4 linked regions of the Callithrix jacchus genome follow. The main gene of each other region encodes a partner of the protein of the gene in region 3 in a complex. Links are inferred from orthologs where the notes say so. Each region holds a gene or a part of one and is shown on either strand. Other genes may lie near its edges.

Region 1 (4,573 bases), on a different chromosome or scaffold from region 3:
AGATCTATTTCTACATACATGTGGGAGGAAAGTACACATTCTCATTGATTTACTAAGCATTTCCAGAATGCAGGGGAATTTTCTACCTTTAACACGACTTCAGGAACAATCCTGAGTCCTGGCAGAGGTTTCGCCCCAGGCTCCTTCCCCAGCCTCCTCGCCCACCTGTCCATGCCAGAGGAACCTTGTTAGCTTCAGGCAGAGAAAGGTGGACAGGGCCGTCCACTGAATCTCAAGCCATTCCAACATCCCGCTAGCCCGCACTGGAGATTTGCATTTCAGCCATTTCCAGGTCCAAGCTCCACAGCAGCCCCCTCCCCAAACCTCTGGAAGGTGGAGACCTAAGGCGACAGGTCTTCACAGTTCCTCACCGAGTGGACAAAAGTATGGTACGACCTCCTAGGCAGGATAATTAGGTCCCCAGGCTCGGTGTTGGGAACACAGGCCCAGCATGCCGCTGGCGGCCACAATCCCGGCTTCCTGCCTTCAATACCATAATCCTTCCTGGAGTCTGAGCCCCAGTGAAAGCCCCAGCGTGTTTATTTTTCCCCTTGAAAGGGAACTCTCTTCTCAGCCCGCACGCGGGAGGCGTTGTCACCCTCCCTCTGATGGATGGCTCTTCTCGGCCGCCCGCCCCCCACCCTCCCTCCACCCCGTCCATTTTCACCTCGGCACAAGCCTGCCCCCAAAGACAGGCAGAGTGACAAGCAGGAAGGGCTTGGCTGCGGAGTGGTCCCCATGCCAGGCCTGTGCTGCACTCTTCAATTTTACCATATTTCCAAAATCCCGACCCTCTAAGAAGGCAGGCCAGTACAGAGCCCTCCGCTTTGGGCTTCCACGTAAGAGGTGATAGGTCCACTGCTGGCTCGGCCACAGGGAACACTGCTGTTTTGTTCCTGGGTAGATTTCACATCAGGAAAGTCACAGTGCCCGGCTCCTCCAAAGCGCAGACCCATCTCTTCGCTTAAGGCCTCCCTACCTCTTCCCAGCTGAGGAGGAAAGGGAGCTGTCAAGGGGTCAAGTCTAGGGGAGAAATTCCTCAACAAATCGAAATCTCAAAAATCACAAACTGGGCCAGGACCCCAATACCCTCCCAGTTTCATGCTTGCGTCCAATCAGAACTCGCAGGCAGCTTGGGGGTGCTCCCCACCACCACCCCTTTCGGGACAGCACTTCTTTCATTTGTTTGCCCGAAATATCCTGTTTTTCTCCCCCTTCTCGGGGCGCTAAAGAGCTCAGAGAAATCTGCATTTTAATTGACATTCCAGGGAGAGGGAGAGGGGCGCCTGATTGCTTTTCTATTCAAACTAAACAGGCTTTTCAGATGAAAATGAGTCGAGGCCGGTGGAAGATTTACACGGATTTGGGACCCGGGGACAATGAAGTTTTAAATGTTGATAGCATTTCACACCAAACACATAATGGGTGCCCTGAGTTTCAAAGCAGGTTTGCCTTTAACGGTAGGTTTGATTGAATTGGGAGAAAGGAAAGAAGGTCTGGAGAACGGTTTGCAAGGGAGCGGGCTGTGAGGGGAGCGACCGAGGCTAGTGGCCCCCGGGCCGGCCTCCTGCGCCAGGTCCGCGGGCCGCGAGGGTCGGAGCCAGCGCCACGCAGGGCCCTCGGCTGATTTCCCCAGCGCGGCCCAGTCGCCGAAAGAATGAGCGCGCAAGTTAGAACTCGCCTGCGCTTTCGACATCTCCCAGCCGCTGCGGCAGAGCAGGCAGGCGAACTAGAAAAAGTCGGTCCAGTTCGCCCCCTAGCCCCAGGCGCGCTGCGCTCCCTCCAGCGCCTACAGCGGCTGCGGGCTAGGGGCGCCCAGGCATCGAAAACCGGGCACCGGAGCCGCCGCCTCCCCAACAGTGCCACGCCTGGCCATCACCACCCCTACGGGATGTCAGCGGCCCCACCCCAGCTGCCCCCTCCCGAGACAGGGGTCTCCGCGGGGCCTGGATGGTACGGAAGCTCCCAGGACCCGCGGATGGGGCACCTCGGAGATGCTCCGCGGGACCCGGGCTGCGGGGCTGTGCCATCGGCAGGCGAACCCTCCGCCCGTCTGCTCTGGGGTTGGAGGAACGCGCCCAGCCAGAGGGAAAGCGCCCGCCAGGGTTTGACAGGGAGGGGGGCGTCTGCACCAGAGGCAGATGTCAGCATCTGGATGAAGGTGGCAAAGGCAGAACTTCCCCAACAAGGGCCGTCAGCACGCACCCACCTCCCCATCACCTATGCAGCCACCTAGGAAGGCCAGGGGGCGTCCCCCACAATGCCAGTCCTTCCGCGCCCCCCGCCCGGAGGACGCTGCACCCGACGTCCCGGGCTCCCTTGGCGCTCACTTCCCCCGCTGGCGGAGAAGCTCCCAGAGGCGTCTTCCGCGGCGATTACCTTGAATGGCAACGCTCCTCCGCGATCTGTGTTGTCCCCGCGCCCCGCGTGGGTCGGGATGGAGAAAGCGACGAGCCCGGGGTTGCGGGGAGCAACTCCAAAAGCAGAAGAGGGATCCCCAGGTCTTCGCCCGCGCCAAGGCTCCCGGACTTCACGCGCACCACAGGCTGCGGAGGAGCGCGGGCATGACGCTTGCGGGCTGCCCTCGGATTTGGGGAGCCACAGGAAGAAAGGACTCAGGCTTGGCGTTGCCTCCACCAAACTTTGCTCGCGAGTTGCGAAGGCTCAGAGCGCGCAGGCAAGCTGCGGCCTCTGGGCCCCCGGGGCGCGCGGCCGGCCCCCGCCAGCCCGGAGAGCAGTCCCCGCGCCTGGCCAGGTACGCCGCATGCAGCCCCGCGGCGCCCGAGCTTTGTGGCTGCCGCGCGCGCTCGCTCGTCCGCTCCGCACCCACCGCCCGCCCGCTCGGCTCTCCACCGCGCTCTCCTGCGGCCGCCGCCCGCGCCGCCGCCGCCGCCTCCTCCCGGCGGGTCACGCCCCCGCTGAAACCCGAGCCGTTTCCTGGACGGCGGCGCCCGCTCTGCCAATCAGCGCCGCGCACCCGGGCCGCCCCGAGCCCCGCGCGGCTCACGACGCCTCCGAGCCCTCGCCCGAGACACGGGCCGGGGAGGCGAGGGCCCAGCCGCGATCCGGCCGTGGGGATGCAGCGACAGCCTCCGAATAAGGCCTGGTCCCGCGCCCCGCGCGACCTCCTCCCTCTTCCTCGGGCGAGCGCGGCTGGCCAGCGGCTCCCGGAGCGGCCGCGTTAAGTACAAGTGACCGAAGGCTCTAACCCTGCCCACCCCCTAAAGAGACTTTAAAATGGGTCTGCTTTTGGTACTGCGGGGAGGGTTGTCAGGCAACTGAAGCTTTCGGAGGAGAGGAAGCAGCCTGGAAATGTTCGCAGGACATTGCATTTTTCTGTCTTTCTAAACAACAGAAATGAGAGGAAAAAACTGAATATTAATGGGGGCCCTACTATGGGCGGGTCACACTACATAGGTGATTCTATTTCGCCTGCCCAACCACCCTGCAGAGTAATATTCCCAGTTTCTGATAAGGAAACTGAAGATCAGAGATGTTCAGTAATTTGCCTAGGATCACACAGCTGGCTATTGAGAGAGCCTGACTTTGAATGTGGCTCTCTCAGAAAAAGCCAAAAATTGCATTCAAAAAAATAAGTGTTTAGTAGTATATGTTTGGATTAATTAAAAGAAATTCAAAGAAGTCTAAAGATTCAACTCTGCCATAAGTAGCTGATCTTGAGCAAGCTAATTCCTCCCTCTGAATCCTAGATTCAAAATCATAAATGCAAAATCTGATTCTTCAAGTCCACACCAAGCTGTAACTGGCTAAAGTTCCTATTTCCATTTACCCTTTTCCCTAAGCCGTGTCTTCGGATTCATTCATTTTAAATATGCTTTTTCTTCCTCCTTATTCATCCAGCTCCAGAGCAGCCGTGCTCGGTTCAAGACGGTATAGATTAAAACCTTAATTATTTTTCTTTAGAAAAGGTCACTAAACCCAGAAATGCTTTAGAATCCTTTTGAGGCCTGAAGATAGATGAAGCATTGAGAACAAACCTGACTTGGAAAACAGACTTTTCCTGCCCTTAGAAACATATTTGCACCTGCGTCACTAGCATTGCATACTTCCTAACATTTACAAAAATTTTTTTTCAAGGTGCCACATGATTAGAAAATCATTTTTATTCACAGTATAGCACAGAAAACATTGATGCGAGTTACTTAAAAGCCACACGACAAATCAATCCCTTTAACTGCCTCACGCAAAAGGCTGTAATATTGGATTTGGGGAGTTTGATGGCAACAAAATAAAAACTGGCTCTTAAACAAAATGATGCCTCCATATGCTTGGTGGGAGGGTGTTTTTGGTCGGGGCCTCTAACCTGAATCAGTCCCAGAGCCTATATTAACAGACACCTCAGGACAGGTGACACTTAGCCATTCACTGCCACCTGGGTTGTTCTGAACCTAGCAGTATGTTTTCAAGTTCTCAGAAAAGGGATGCAGCTGAATGTGTCTGCCTGCTTTCAGGCTGCCTCTTACATCTTTACATTCCCCTCCAATGGGAAACTCAAAATATCTCAGGACAGATTCCTTTCCCATCCTGCACCGTATCCATCAGCCATTGAAAA
Region 2 (4,311 bases), on a different chromosome or scaffold from region 3:
GAAGCTGAGGAGGAGACTCGCTTGAACTAGGGAGTGGAAGATTGCTGTGAGCTGGGATCGCACCACTGCACTCCAGCCTGGCGACAGAATGAGACTGTCTCCGAAAAAATAAAAAAGAGAAAAGAAGGGGGAAAAAAAGGAAAAATAATGTGAGGACCCATTTCTTAAATTAACAGGGGTGGGGTGGGGAGGAGCAGTGGGTGGGATGGGGGAGGAGTTGCGTGGGGGATCTCATTCAGTATTCAAACTCTTACAAATTTGGGGGTTGAGGTGGGTGATGGTGAGGGAACAGGCCCTGCCACTAACTTACATAGTGACATTTATTTGTGTAATATTTTTGGCACACTGATGCCTATTATTGTATTTGATTCTTATGACCATCTTGTGAAGGAGTAGCAACAGATACCCCTGTTTTGATTTTATCAGATGCATGACTTGTCCTGCATCAAACTTCATAAATGGACAGAATGGAGGAATCCTTCAGCCCTAGAGCTTCCTGCTTCCCACCCTAACAGTGGCCTCAGCCTGGGCTCACATCATAGGCCCCACGGAGCCTTGGAAAAAACATAGATTCTTGGCTCCTTCCTGGGACAGCGCGATTCCTCATGTCTGAGCAGGCCCATGAATTTGTATTTTTCAAGAGTTCTTTACAGGACCCGTGTCCATTTGGATTAGGGAACCACTAGATTATACCATTCCACGGAAGACTCAGGGGGAAGCATTTTAGCCACTTTCCCAGGTTCCATAGTATTGGAGGGTGTTCTGAGTGGGCTGTGATTAATTTCCAAACCAACCACACCTCTCCCCTCAACTCCCACTGCTTACTCTTTGCTTCCTAGACGTTCACTGCAGGCTGGAGACTTCCGGAGGCCAACAACATCGCTGAAGAATTTACAGAGTCCAGTTCCCGGTGGACCACAAAACCTAAATTATGTGGCTGGGGAAAGCTGAGATCCAAAGGAAGGGTTTGAGGAGGGGCTGACCTTCTCAAGAATAAAATCAGCTTGTATTTATTAAGTGTTAACTATGCGCCAGGCCCTCGTTGACGCCTCAACTCTATACGAAAAGCACTATTATTCCCCTTTTACAGATGGCAAAACCGAGATTAGAGCGCGAAAATCATTTCCCCAAGGCGCACAGACTCCAAAGGCCACGCTACCAGGTACAACCTCAGGGCTGCAGCGTCTCTTCACCTGGCCCCCCACGCGGCTGCTGTGTCTAGGGCCTGAAATCCCGGCGCCCTCTGGGACGTGCTCAGATGCAGCGGCGCGAGCGCCAGAGGAGACCAGGCTGCGGGAAGGGAAGGGCCGAGCGGAGGACAGCTTGGCCCGCTCCCCCTCCTCGGGGGCCGCGGCTCGGGAACTACAAGGCCCAGCAGGCAGCGGCAGAGGGCGGAGGCGGAGGAGGGACCAGCGCTGGTGGGAGTGAGAGGGCGAGCCCTCGCGCCTCGCCGGCGCACAGCGCTCGGAGCGCTCCTGCGGCCACAGGCTCGGCGGCCTCGGCGGCGGGCGGCAGGCAGCGGGAGCCGGGACGCCGGTGCAGCCGCAGGGCGCGGAGGAACCCGGGCAGTGCCAGGAGCTAGGCGGCCACGTCCGGACCGGACCGGACCGAGAGTCCGCGTAGCGCATTGCGGCGACCTCGCCTTCCCCGGCCGCGAGCGCGCCGCTGCTGGAAAAGCCGCGGAGCCCGAGGACTTTTCTCTGCTCCGAGCTCGGGGCGCCCCGCAGGACGCACGGTACCCGTGCTGCAGTCAGGCACGCCGCGGCGCCAGAGCCTCCGCGGGGCGATGGATCCTGGTCTGCAAGGAGCGTGAGGCGCCTCCGCTGCGTTCCGGAGAAGGGGGGCGCAGGGTCTGGAGACCCGGGCAGCGGACGGGAGCCCTCCCCCCGCCCCGCCTCCGGGGCACCAGCTCCGGCTCCATTGTTCCCGCTCGGGCTGGAGGCGCCGAGTACCGAGCGCTGCCGGGAGTCGAGCGCCGGCCGCGGGGCTTTCGCGACCCCGCCAGCACCCGAACAGAGCCCGGGGGCGGCGGGCCGGCGCCGGGGACGCGGGCACACGCCCTCTCGCACAAGCCACGGCAGACTCTCCCGAGGCCGAACCTCCACGCCGAGCGAGGTAAGAGCCGCGGCGCCCCCGATCCGGGGCGGACTAGCGTCCCGAGCAGCCCCAGGCGCCGGAGCCTTCCGGCTGCGCGCTTCGCCCGCCGCAGCCCAGCCGGGGCCGGCGCCTCCCTCCGCTCGCCGCCCGCCCCCTCCACCTCCCGGCTCCCTCCCCGGCAATCCGCGCCCCCCTTGGGTCTCCCCTCCCTTCCCTCCGCCCGCGTCGCCTTCTGCGCCCCCTCCCTGCGCTCGTCCCGCCGGTCTTCCCGCCGCCCAACTTTTCCGCCAACTCGCGCTCGGGAGCTGACGAGGCGGCGGCGGCGGCTACTCGGTGAGTCCCGGGAGGGACAGGGCTGGAGTGGGCGGCGAGGGGGGCGGTGTGTGTGTGTGTGTGTGTGTGTGTGTGTGTGTTGCATTCCGCTCCATCTCTTCTTAGTCCCCTTTTGGGGATTCACCCCAATTCAGCAGGTAGCTTTGGGCTCAACGCTAAAAATCCGTGACATTCCTAAGTCCTTTTCCACCCCCGGGAAAGTCTGGGGTCCGGGTGGGGGGCGAGTGGGCGGGGGGATGAAATGCGGAGGACGTGGAGAGCTAGGTTAGCTTCTCTTGGAATACGTTTTAAGGAGGTGTCGTCACCAAATGGCTGAATCTGCTTGAGCTGAAAGCGAAAAACGACTCCCCTTTCCAGAAGGGGTGATCTACTTGGACGGTCTCAGAAAGGGTCGGAAGTTTGGGGAACGGGAGGACGACCCGCGGTCGTTAAGCCGAGGTATGGGGCGGGGGCAGGGGCTGGGGCTGGGGCCGGGGCTGTTCCGTCCCAATCTGGTTCTTGGAGGTGGAGGAAGGGATGTGGGTTTTGTCCGGTGCGGTTCACTCGGCTGCGATGCGTGTGCTTGTCTAGCCCAGACCCCTCTGCGCTCCGCGTCCCCTCCCGTTATGTTTGGTGTTGGTAGAAAGGGAGGCTACGACCCACGTCGGCAGAGAAATTTGTGGACGTTGTAGATGGGGTTCATATAGAACACCCCCTGTGAGGCAGCCAGACACTTTGTGTGGTGGTGGTGGGGGAGGGAGGGTGAAGCCTGTTTCTTGTTCTGGGCCCAGAAGCTATCAGCCCGTTTGAAGAACATTTCCACGGTGCGGTTCTCCCCTAGCCCTCCCCCATCCCCATTTTCCAGATGTGGCGGCCGCATCTGGTTCCGTTTCACCCCACACGGGTACACCGCAGCCGCATTATTAACTTACCTCTTCCTCCCCTCCCCCTCCCCCAAATTAAAACTCGGATTCTTCAACTCGCCTTGACCACCTCTCTCCTCATCATTTCTGGAGACTTGGAGATGCGGCATTGAGATTCAGGGGAGAAAAGAAAGTTCCCTTGAATCCCGAGTTATTTAAGTTCCCACCAAGTTATTCGCCGCCGCTGGTGGGTGACGGCGGTCGGGGTGCTTTCTGGATTGCGCAGAAAAGAGGCATCTTGGGAGATGGGGCCAAGGTTTTAGGGGATAGCACTTGCGAACGGTTCATCCGCTAGACTAGGGGGGCTCTTTGGCCGTGCGTCTGGCCAGAAGTGGCCTTGACGATGGAAGTTTCTGGAACCAAAGCATTGCTTTCTTTCCCTTGAGTTACAGTTGGAGTTGCAGGAGCGCCTGCCCCGCCCGGAGCCCGCGGTCCCCTCTCGGCCGCCCCGCGGTGGCGTCACGCGCCCCTTCTTCCCCTCCCGGAGCGAGCCCGGTGCGCAGGGCCGGGGGGCGTGGGCGGCTGTTGCCAGAGGTGCTCTCTGTGTTTTTAAGGATTGATTTGGGCCACATCCCCGGAAGCTAAGTGGGACATTTTACCGTTTAAATAACGGCCACAGGTTTGAAAGCGGGGGTTGGATTGTCAAGTTGTGTTTGGTCATAGTCTTTGAGGCAGGAAAGCACCTTGTGGTCCAAAGTTGCAGGAGGGTGGGGAGAGTCGGGAGAGTCGGTCTCTCACCCGCTTCTTTCCAGTCTCTTTCAAATTGAAAACACTTCTCTGGTTTCCTTCTTTGGGCGGTAGTTTTGGAGGCTGTAATGAAATCGCACTTTCTCTAGACGTGGTAATTAAGGTGACTGTTTCCTCCGCAGATGTGCCCTGCCCTTTGCACCTCCGGACCAGCGCTTTTTTTGGAATACCACCTAAATGGGAAAACCTTAGCCTTGAGACTGTTGAGCAGAAAGTGGCCATTTTCCTCCCT
Region 3 (4,473 bases):
CCTGTCCTTAGCTAGTTATAAAGTTGGCAGAGTTCTCAACCTGAGCACTGATGACATTTGGGGTCAAAAATTTTGTGTGTGTGGATATTATCCTGTGCATTGTAGAAGTTTAGCAGCAACCCTGGTCTCTACCTGTTAGATGCCAGTAGCACCCTTTCCGGGTTAGGGTAACCAAAACTGTCTCCAGGCACTGTCAAATGTCCCCTGGGAGGCAAAATCACTTGAGAACCACAGAGTTAAAGTAAGATTACACAAATGAAAACCCAGCTCACAGTTAGGAAGAAAAACTTAACAGCTGTTTTTAAAAGGGTAGTAATGTGATATATAATTCAAAATTATGTCCACTGGCTAGCCTCTATATAGTCTTATTCTAAGAAGAATCGGTATCAAAATCTTCAAGAAAAAAAGGATTCAGCAACTAACAGAGTTTGAAAACAAGAGTATTAGGGGAAGCCCCAAATATTACTTCATCTAGAGAATTCTTCTGTCCTCTGGTCATAATACATGCTTTTTAGTTAATAGTTTGTGATACTAGAAAAGGACAAAACTAATGGGGACACAGAGCACTTTGCCCTCCTCAGCTGAGATGGCCTAGCAGACAGCTGCAGAACAAATTTCAATCACAAAGATAATGTTGTGAAACAGATACTCAAGTTACCAGAATAGAGAAATAGCACAAACCCATGTAATAGGTTGCAAGCATGTTTTACGGGATAAAGTGATTTAATTTTTAAATTATGGCAGGCCTGAAAAAAAATTAAAGACTTGCCTTTCTTGCTGGTTGCTATTTTGGAAGCAATAAAGACACAGCTCATATAAAACTGTATTTCTTCTGCCAATTCACGTTTGGCTGTAGAATTTTCTCCTCTTCCCTCTCCGGGCTCTTGACATCCCGCTAGCATCCCAAGACAAAGGCAGAACTACAGGGGAGTGGCGCTCAGACCCCTGTGGGTCTTTTCTCAGGCAGAGAGAGAATCAGATTCTCCACCTGGAACCCATAGAGGAAGGATCGCCAGAACACACAGCTTTTAAAACATATCTTTACCCACACGTACAGAAGGACAGGTTAAAATATATTCTAGTCCTCTTTCTCTCACTTCAAATTCCATCAGTGTTGTAAATTGGCTCATCCTACGCCCCTTTCTTCTTTCCTTTAGACCAGTGGCTCTCAAAGTTGGATGTGATCAGCATCCCCGGGGAACAGGTTAGAAATGCAAATCTTCAGCCCCTACTCCAGACTTAGGGACTCCCCTAAAGTCCAGGAACCCCTGATTTAGGCCAGTGTTCTTTCTAGAATCATAAAAATTGTTTCTTAGAGAAAGCAAAACTGCAATTCTCATTCCATCCTCAAACCTGCTGCAAGGTAGGTATTAGCCCCACGTTAGGGATGAGGAAACCGGCTCTGGGGTTACAAGTCGGCCCAAGGTCTCAAAGCTAGTCACTGCACGGGGAAGGTTAAAGTGTTTGCACTTCTTTTCACTACTGAAACAAATTTATCGCAAGTTGTTAACATCTGGATTTCTTGCTGGTTGGCTGGTTGGGTTTTGTTTTTGCTCTTTCAGCTTTCGTCAATTCGGAAAAATATAAAACCGAGTGGGTGAGAGGAGTGTGCCACATGCCTCGGTTCTTCCCGAGTCGGAATTTAAGGGCAGGACTCTGGAAAGGTGTTTTTCCAGTAAAGATCGTTTTGTTCTGCTGCGGCCCGTCCTGTCTTTGAGGGAAATACACTCTGTCCCCCACAGCAGACACACAAGCGGCCAGAGCTGCACGGCGGGGCCGCGGGCATCCCGACGCGACAGGTTGTCTGCGGGAAGGGAGCCCGTCAGCCGGGGCCCGGCGCGCCGCGGCTCGGGGCTGGGGAGACTGGTTTACGGGGCAAACTGGAACACCCCAAAGCCCGGGGGACGCCCGGGCCTACGCCGCAGCTCGGGAAGGAGGGGGCGAGTGGTGAACCCGAAACCGCTGAGGGCCGCGCGGCCAGAAACCACACGGACCGCTAGGGTGGCAATGAAGATCCGGGAGGAGCGCGCAGGCTGTAGAGGAGAGAGTGGGCGAGGACCCGGGAAATGGAAATGGGGCGGGGAGAACGGGCCGGCACTCACTGTGAGGGTCGCTCTTCTCCCGGACCCCGTCCACTCGGCCGTCGGGGTGGATTCGCAGGAAGAAGCCCCCGTTTTTGCAGTACAGCCGCTTGGGGTCTTTGAAGTGGCCGGGCGGGAAGGCGCCGCTACCGCCGTCCTCGGGCAGGGCGGGCAGCGTGGTGATGCTCCCGGCTGCCATGGTCCCTCCGGGACCCTGCCGGGGACCCCGAGCCGCTGGAGCCGAGCGGGGAGCCGCCGCCCCCCGGCCACGGCCCCGGCCTCCGACCCGCTCCAGGGCACGGCCCCGGCCCCGGCCCCCCAGCCTCCCGCCCGGCAGTGCGCGGCCGCGCCCGCGGGCCCCCAGCCTCGCGCCGCTTGGCCGCTCTTCTGTCCGCCGGCCTCTGGTGCGCCGCGAGCCGGCGGCCCGAAAGCTGGGGTTCAGGAAAGGGTGTTTCCGCGGCCGGCGCCTGGGGAGAGCCGCCCAGCAAACTGCAGCGCCCGGGATCCCGTTGCAACCGCGGGCACCGCGTCCGCTGATCTGGCACCCGCCGGGCCGCGGCGTCACATCTTCTACATCTCCACCCCCGACACCCACCAGCCACCCGCGCCCCCGGCTCTCCTCCCTCCTGCGCGCCGCCCCCCTACTCGCTCGGGGTTTTCTGGGGCCGGCCTCTGAGTCCGGCGCTTCGGCCACAACACGCAAGCGCGACATCTGTCCCGGGGACAGCCGGGTGGGGGAGGGGCGGGGGGCGCGCCGGAGGCCGCAGCAGGACCCCGGTAGTCCCGGGGCTCCACGGTCCCTTGTCCCCCAGAAGTCACCCCCGCCCAACCCCGCACCACCCAAACCATGTTTAGGCTTTCTCTACACTGCGGGGCTTTTGCTGCGCAACCAGCCGTGACTCAACTTTTAAAAGTTTAAATACAACTTTCTCCCCCATTTTTTCCCTTGCTAGCGTTTCAAAACGGGGAAGCTGTTTCCACCCCAAAGTAGAGAAGTCGGAATCCAGGGAAGATTCTGTGTCAGAACAGGCTCTGAAAATCTCTAAATCACCAAAAGACGAGGGGTACACGTGGGGCATGAACTGTTTAAAAATAAAGGACAGAGACTAAAGTCGTCTATCAACAAAAGGAAAGAAAGAGGCCAGAGAAGGGAAGCAGATTGGGTTACTGACCCAACTTGAATTAGACAACACAGAAAGGTGAGGATGAGGCCCAAATCCTTATCGCGATAGAAGCGCATTAATGTCTTAACTCGGAGCTGGCATTTGCCCTAGCTGAATTGTTAATACATTTCTTGGAGACAGAGTTAATTTCTGTAAATCCCAAATGTAAATTTGAAGTTTCTTGCATTTTGGTAATTTTCAGTAGGATATAGCAGGTGCGACAGATGATTAGCAAACTTGCAGGGCTTTTGCTGCGCAATCAGCCGTGACTCAACTTTTAAAGGTTTAAATACAACTTTCTCCCCCATTTTTTCCCTTGCTAGCGTTTCCAAACTTGCTAATCATCTGTAGCACCTGCTATATCCTACTGAAAATTACTGTTTCACTCAGTGAGGGAGATAAGATGGGTAGCATGAGTAACACAAATACCAGTAGAAAGTAACTAGACCATAGAAGAGTAAGACTATGTGCTGTGACATTTCAGACATGGGGTAACTCAGTTGGGGAAGCAGGAGATTTAGGGAAGCTTCTAGAAGGAGTTGCAAGTGCTTCCTTGTAGAAACATTAGGTTTCAAAAGGTCATGTATAAGTGCATTTTTCTCAAATCTCCAAGAGGGCTTTAACTCCAGATTCATTTCTAGAATGTTAAATATAGGAGTGTGAGTAAATTCTCCGAAGCTTTAAAACCAGGCATACTCTTCTTTCTTCTTGCAGCTAGTGTATGTTCTATAGAGAAGGGGGAAAAAAAATTCCTCATTCATTACTAGGTTTATGGCTGAAGCTCCTGTAGCAACAGACACATTAACAAGAGAAAAACATACTAATTTGTTTATATAAGTTTTACACAAAACAGGAGCCTTCAGAAATGAAGACCCAAAGTTAATAGAGAAACCTGTGTATTTTTAAGGCTAGGACTGATAAAGAAGTGGAAGTCATAGAGAAGTATGATTGGACAAATATCTATGATCTAATGGTAATAAACTGGGGAGACTTACTTGGAAAGGCCTGTTTGTTCAGATGCTTCTCCCTGTACCTGTGTCTTCAGAGATAAGGATATCCCTTTCCTCCAGGTATAGAGAAGGCACTTCTGGAATGAAAGTCTCATGAGCCTGCTTCAGAAGAGAAGATCTGGGGAAAGTGAAAGTAACCCTCTTGCTTCTGCTGTTTTCTCAAGTGCCAAGGTACCATTATTTTGGGGTAGCATGTCCTGAACCCCAATTCTCTAACAT
Region 4 (4,505 bases), on a different chromosome or scaffold from region 3:
CCCAGGAGTCCTGGGACAGAACTGGAATCAGCTTCAGGGCAGCTGAGAAGATAAAGCCAGTGTACAGTGGCTTTGTAAGAGGAGATGGGGAAAGTGTCAAGTTTAAAAAGCAAGACTCACCTCTAGGAAATGGGAAAGCTCATGGTTGATGAGCTCCTTCAGTTCGGATTTCTTCAGCTTGTGCTTGTCTCCCTCCCTTCCGGAATACTGGTGGAAAACGTCGATGAGGGCCACCATGGCCTTCTCCAGCTCAGACATCCTAGGGGCTCACAAAGGAAAGATGCCTTCTCATCTATACCTCATCGTAAGCATTTCGTGTGTTATCGACACAGACCTCAACCCAGACAAGGGGGATGGGCTGGCCTTGCATTCTTTTCAAGCTCAGAGCAGCAGGCAACGCCTGGAAGGGCATTCAGGAAATTTGTGCTTTCATCACAGTCCTCCCACCTGCCTCTTAGACACATGTGGGCCTGCCTTCTCTGTCCCTCTGAGCCACAGGGATATCTTCCCATGCCCTCTGGCTTCTGGTTGGGTTGGGTGAATGGGAAAACTTCAGCAAAAATACAGAGGCAGAGCAGAAAGGGAATTCAGGGATTAATTTCTGCTTCCCGCAGGGTCCCTCTCTGTCCTTGTAAAGCTCCAAGATGAGGTGGTCGAGTGCAGGTGAGCAAAGCATGAACTGCAAGCTGGTGAGACGGTGACTAGGAGCAAAATAAGAAGACAAAAATCAACAGCATTCCTCTTTTCTATCAATAAAGAAGTAGAGAATACAGTGCAAGACACCCTTTTCATATAGCAATGACAGGTGCTGTAGGAGTAAGTTTAGGAGGAAAAATGCAGGTGCTTCCAAGAGATTCTGAGAAACATAAAACGTAGGAACTTTTTCCTTTAAATTCAAATGTAAATTTAAATCATCTTTAATAAAAATAATGGAATTTTTTGGGTGGGTGACATGACAAAAACAGCTGTAAAATTCATCAGGACAAATAAATATGGTAGAATTGCCACGATCTTTTTGAAGAATAACAATAAAAGGTAACTGACCTACCAGGAAAAAAAAAAATGTATCTTAAGTTTAATTGATTAAATGGGTGTGGTTCTGTCGCAGGGAAGGACAGAACCCAGCAGAAAGCTGAGCTGCTGAGCAAGCATTCCACCTCCCGTGCAGGGAAATGGTGGCTCATTCACTGCGGTAACTGGGACGGTACAGGAATATGCTTCTCTGCCGCAATCTCAGTAAGAGCCCTCCTGCTCCCTCACAGCAAGTACCGTACGTCACAGCCTACAAACCAAGGAAATACCTGGTCAGTCTGGGAATGAGGCGCATTTTACAAAGGATGCCTTGTCAGTTGTTTCACTGAACAGACGCGCAGGCAGAGAGATTTACCAGCTTTTGGCCTCGGATTCTAATCATTAAATGAGAACATTTGCACTGTTATAATTAAAAATAAATTAATAAATCAAATATTATCAAAAATCATTCCTATGTTGAATAGATCACTTACATCTTAAAAATAATTTGGAATTAGATGTAAAAATTTTTATTTATTTCTGATCCTCCAAAGGAAACAGGACTGGAGATTTTTTTATACTGGCCAGATCTTTGCTAAAGTCATTGTATTAATAATCAGTATACTTCACAAATAGAACAGCTAAGAGGGATTAAAATTTTTTAGCATTTCATGTTTTCTTATTCTTTGCACTAAAATGTTCGGTTATTGATGTGTATGTGTGCGTGTGCGTGTGTGTATTTTAAAAAACCACACAAAACAAAATACACTTTTGCATCATTCTGATGCTCCTCAAAGTTGGTGATGATTTAGGGAAAAGGAGGTTAAATTGTTTTTCTGCGAATTATGACTAATGGGATTTTTACAAAGGAAAGGCATAAAACATGTATTCCATATATTAGAACCCTAATAGAAACCACTAGAAAATACGGTTTTCTTCATAACCACACTACAAATCAATTAAAAAATTTTTGTTAAATTTTTCCCTTTGACTTAAGAAACAGTTGATGGTTTACAGTTTATCTTGTAAGATAAATGGAAATAAATATCCATTTCTTTCTTACATTCTGTAGATGTTCTACATTAACCTTCTAATATTGAGAACAAGAGAATATTTGAACTTTAACTCCTTCGACAGTTTAGCTAGTGCGTGAAGATCCCTCTAAAGAAGGGGTTCGACTCCCTGAGAAACTGTAAGACTGAGGAAAGTTAAAACTCGCCAAAACTCCACTTTCTTGGACCCAATTTATCTGTAATTGTTATGTAATTTCTGAGTGGTGTCCTGGGGCTGCGGGGACCCTGGCTTTTTAAACTGAGGGAAACTGGAAAACTGAAGTTACTTACCCAGGGCGGTGGAAGAAGTAAGAGGGAGAAAAGGAAAGCATTTATTTATGATATAGGACTAAACTAGCATTAGATTCTCTCTCATTTTCAGCCCCAGTGGGAAACAAAAACCTTGCTCTTCAAATCGTTACAGAAGAGGCAGTGTTTGTAGTATCACTGGGAAAATGTCAACAATCACTTCTGGACCATGAGAGCTGAGGTTTCTCTGATTTATGGCAAAACACAGGCAAACAGCTCTGGCTGTCTAGGGCTGGTGCGGTCGGGTGTCCACAAAGCAGCAATGAAGTGGAGATTAAAGCACATCGTGCTATTGACCCTTCTGAAATGCTGCCAATTATCCTAAAGGGATAGTTTCTACCCCTCCTCCACCACCCTGTTCCACCCAAAACAAAACCATTTCTTCCTGAGCGTCCTCCTGGCCTGGCTCTCTCACCTCTTCCGCGTCTCACCCTTCCTTGTCTCCTTGCTGCAGGCCTCGTCTCTGCTGCCGGTCCTGGAGGGCAGGACTGGTGCACAGGGGCAACCTCTTATCCCCTCTGCCCAGGGAGGACGGATGAACCCAGGTGCAGCCCACTGCAGGCTGTGACAGCCAATGGGGGCCGAGGGTGGGGGCGGCAGGGCTGCCAGGCTGGCACACAGGGCTGCATTGACCAAGCAGCCCGGGGACTTGCCAGGAGCCAGGATTGCACACGGGCTGAGGAAGAAGAAGGGCCTGTGGGGCAGGAAGTGGGGAGTCAGCTTTTTGTGCTATTTATTTGTTACATGAATATTGATGTTCTGCTGAAGGCAAGGTTGGGGGTGGAGAGAGAGAGACTTGGGCTAATTGATTCAAACAAAGCAAATGTGCAGCCAAGAACCAGAAGCTTCCAAGTACAGGCTGAGCGTAGGAGAGTAGGTGGCCTGCGATCTGGCTTCCGATGGAGAGACCCCTGGAGCCTCTCTCCTCTGCCAGCCTCCATGGCTGGCCCCACTGGGCGCGGGCTTCTGTGGACAGTAGTGCTTGTCCGTGGTCAGCCCTGGGTTCAACAGGGCTGCCTCACAGAAGCTGCTGAGCCCCGTGTCTGCAGGGACTGAAATGTGTGGTACTTTGAGGGGAAAGTCCTTGTTTAGCGTGATGTGGATTGTATCCCAAGGCCTTATGCTCCACCCCAGTGTGGAAGGTCACAGACCGGCAGAGTCGCACAATGCCTTAGAGATGCCCTATCCGAACGCTGTTTTACAGAGGTGTGTGGATGCTGTGCCCCTTGCCGAAGCCTCGAAGGAGAAATCCAGTCGTCCCCTCTATGTGCCCTATGTGAGTCTCTGAGTGCAGGGGCCAGTTTGCGGGTTCTTCACAGGAGGGAAGAAGTGGGCGTGCCTTCTGACAAATCACACAAAAGCATTGGCCCAAACTCTCCACACATGTCCATGGGCCCCAAAGGATGCCTGACCCTGCGTCAGGTCCTTCTCCCCACCCAGTTTCAAAGTGGTTGTGGAAGGGTTTCCCACAAGATACCTGTGTACATGGCTGTTTTGCTGTCACCTGTTTTATCTAGAAAGTTCTCTCATTCAGCATCCGTAAGTGTGCCCTGGAAACAGCACGGGGCTGAAAGCTGTGGTCTTGCATGGCTGAGCATGCCCCAGCCTCCTGTGAGGAAGGACCTGAGCAGGGTGGTTGGGCCTCATTTCCTCATCTTCCTGCTGAAGAATCCGACACAGGCTTGCTCTGTGAAGCACGGAGCTTGCCCAGGCCTGAGGAAGGCGCGGCTGTGCTCTATGCCGCTTCCTCGCTCAGACGTTGGAGGGACCATTCCTGAAAGCCTTGACCACTTCCCCTGAGTGGCAACTTGAACTCTGGATTCACCTTCAGAATCCATAGGAAACTCTTAAGCCTGCTCCTGCAGGGATTAAAAATAGTTTGAAATCCACTCAGGCAATGACTGTACCCCTGCGCCTCGGGCACTGTGCTCAGCAGGAAGACTCAGGCAGACCTGCCCTCTTCACACTGCAGCTTCCTGGGAAGGCAAGTGCGGTGCAGTGGGTCCACCCTGTTCCAAGTGCCTTGGTCCACAGAGATTTTTGGCAGTGGCCAATTGCTCAGTGTTCCTCAGCATGAAGAGATGGACAGCTGCTACAGAAGTCTTTAATCCACACAACAGGAAAACCTCTAGG

What was found. Proteins that work in one complex are often made in the same cells at the same time.
Region 1: the proteins of FGF2 (region 3) and FGFR2 are in contact, whole or in part, in a crystal structure (PDB 1II4), measured with the Homo sapiens proteins. The link is inferred for Callithrix jacchus from reciprocal best matches to the Homo sapiens genes FGF2 and FGFR2. Residues at the interface, in NP_001997.5 of Homo sapiens: Phe154, Pro155, Pro156, Gly157, His158, Phe159, Lys160, Lys163, Tyr166, Lys168, Gly170, Gly171, Phe173, Arg186, Leu197, Gln198, Ala199, Glu200, Glu201, Arg202, Gly203, Val205, Ser206, Tyr215, Val230, Phe235, Glu238, Leu240, Asn243, Asn244; in NP_000132.3 of Homo sapiens: Glu163, Lys164, Leu166, His167, Ala168, Val169, Pro170, Ala171, Asn173, Asp247, Val249, Glu250, Arg251, Pro253, Ile257, Lys279, Val280, Tyr281, Ser282, Asp283, Ala284, Gln285, Pro286, His287, Ile288, Ala315, Gly316, Val317, Thr319, Thr320.
Region 2: the proteins of FGF2 (region 3) and FGFR1 are in contact, whole or in part, in a crystal structure (PDB 1CVS), measured with the Homo sapiens proteins. The link is inferred for Callithrix jacchus from reciprocal best matches to the Homo sapiens genes FGF2 and FGFR1. Residues at the interface, in NP_001997.5 of Homo sapiens: His158, Phe159, Lys160, Lys163, Tyr166, Gly170, Phe173, Arg186, Lys188, Leu197, Gln198, Ala199, Glu200, Glu201, Arg202, Gly203, Val205, Ser206, Tyr215, Val230, Glu238, Leu240, Asn243, Asn244, Tyr245, Asn246, Leu282, Pro283, Met284; in NP_075598.2 of Homo sapiens: Glu162, Lys163, Leu165, His166, Ala167, Val168, Pro169, Ala170, Asp246, Val248, Arg250, Ser251, Pro252, Val279, Ser281, Asp282, Pro283, Gln284, Pro285, His286, Ile287, Ala314, Gly315, Val316, Thr319, Asp320, Glu324, Gly344, Asn345, Ser346.
Region 4: the proteins of FGF2 (region 3) and S100B are in contact, whole or in part, in an NMR structure (PDB 2M49), measured with the Homo sapiens proteins. The link is inferred for Callithrix jacchus from reciprocal best matches to the Homo sapiens genes FGF2 and S100B. Residues at the interface, in NP_001997.5 of Homo sapiens: Arg164, Tyr166, Cys167, Lys168, Asn169, Gly170, Gly171, Phe173, Arg186, Lys188, Asn243, Asn244, Tyr245, Arg262, Lys267, Gly275, Gln276, Lys277, Ala278, Leu282, Met284; in NP_006263.1 of Homo sapiens: Glu47, Ile48, Lys49, Glu50, Gln51, Glu52, Asp55, Lys56, Cys85, Phe88, Phe89, Glu90, His91, Glu92.

What each region holds. Positions count from the first base shown.
Region 1 is NC_133513.1:115,006,216-115,010,788, forward strand, and holds the start of FGFR2 (fibroblast growth factor receptor 2), read right to left. Parts: upstream 2,857-4,573; 5' UTR 2,380-2,856; intron 1,058-2,379; exon of another isoform or gene 668-1,057; intron 514-667; exon of another isoform or gene 87-513; intron 1-86. UniProt on the Homo sapiens protein: Tyrosine-protein kinase that acts as a cell-surface receptor for fibroblast growth factors and plays an essential role in the regulation of cell proliferation, differentiation, migration and apoptosis, and in the regulation of embryonic development.
Region 2 is NC_133514.1:39,299,211-39,303,521, reverse strand, and holds the start of FGFR1 (fibroblast growth factor receptor 1), read left to right. Parts: upstream 1-1,455; 5' UTR 1,456-2,115; exon of another isoform or gene 2,116-2,430; intron 2,431-2,707; exon of another isoform or gene 2,708-2,868; intron 2,869-4,311. UniProt on the Homo sapiens protein: Tyrosine-protein kinase that acts as a cell-surface receptor for fibroblast growth factors and plays an essential role in the regulation of embryonic development, cell proliferation, differentiation and migration.
Region 3 is NC_133504.1:74,801,073-74,805,545, forward strand, and holds the start of FGF2 (fibroblast growth factor 2), read right to left. Parts: upstream 2,811-4,473; 5' UTR 2,794-2,810; coding exon 2,103-2,793; intron 1-2,102. UniProt on the Homo sapiens protein: Acts as a ligand for FGFR1, FGFR2, FGFR3 and FGFR4. Also acts as an integrin ligand which is required for FGF2 signaling. Binds to integrin ITGAV:ITGB3.
Region 4 is NC_133522.1:52,192,001-52,196,505, forward strand, and holds the start of S100B (protein S100-B), read right to left. Parts: upstream 2,857-4,505; 5' UTR 2,788-2,856; intron 702-2,787; 5' UTR 259-701; coding exon 121-258; intron 1-120. UniProt on the Homo sapiens protein: Small zinc- and- and calcium-binding protein that is highly expressed in astrocytes and constitutes one of the most abundant soluble proteins in brain.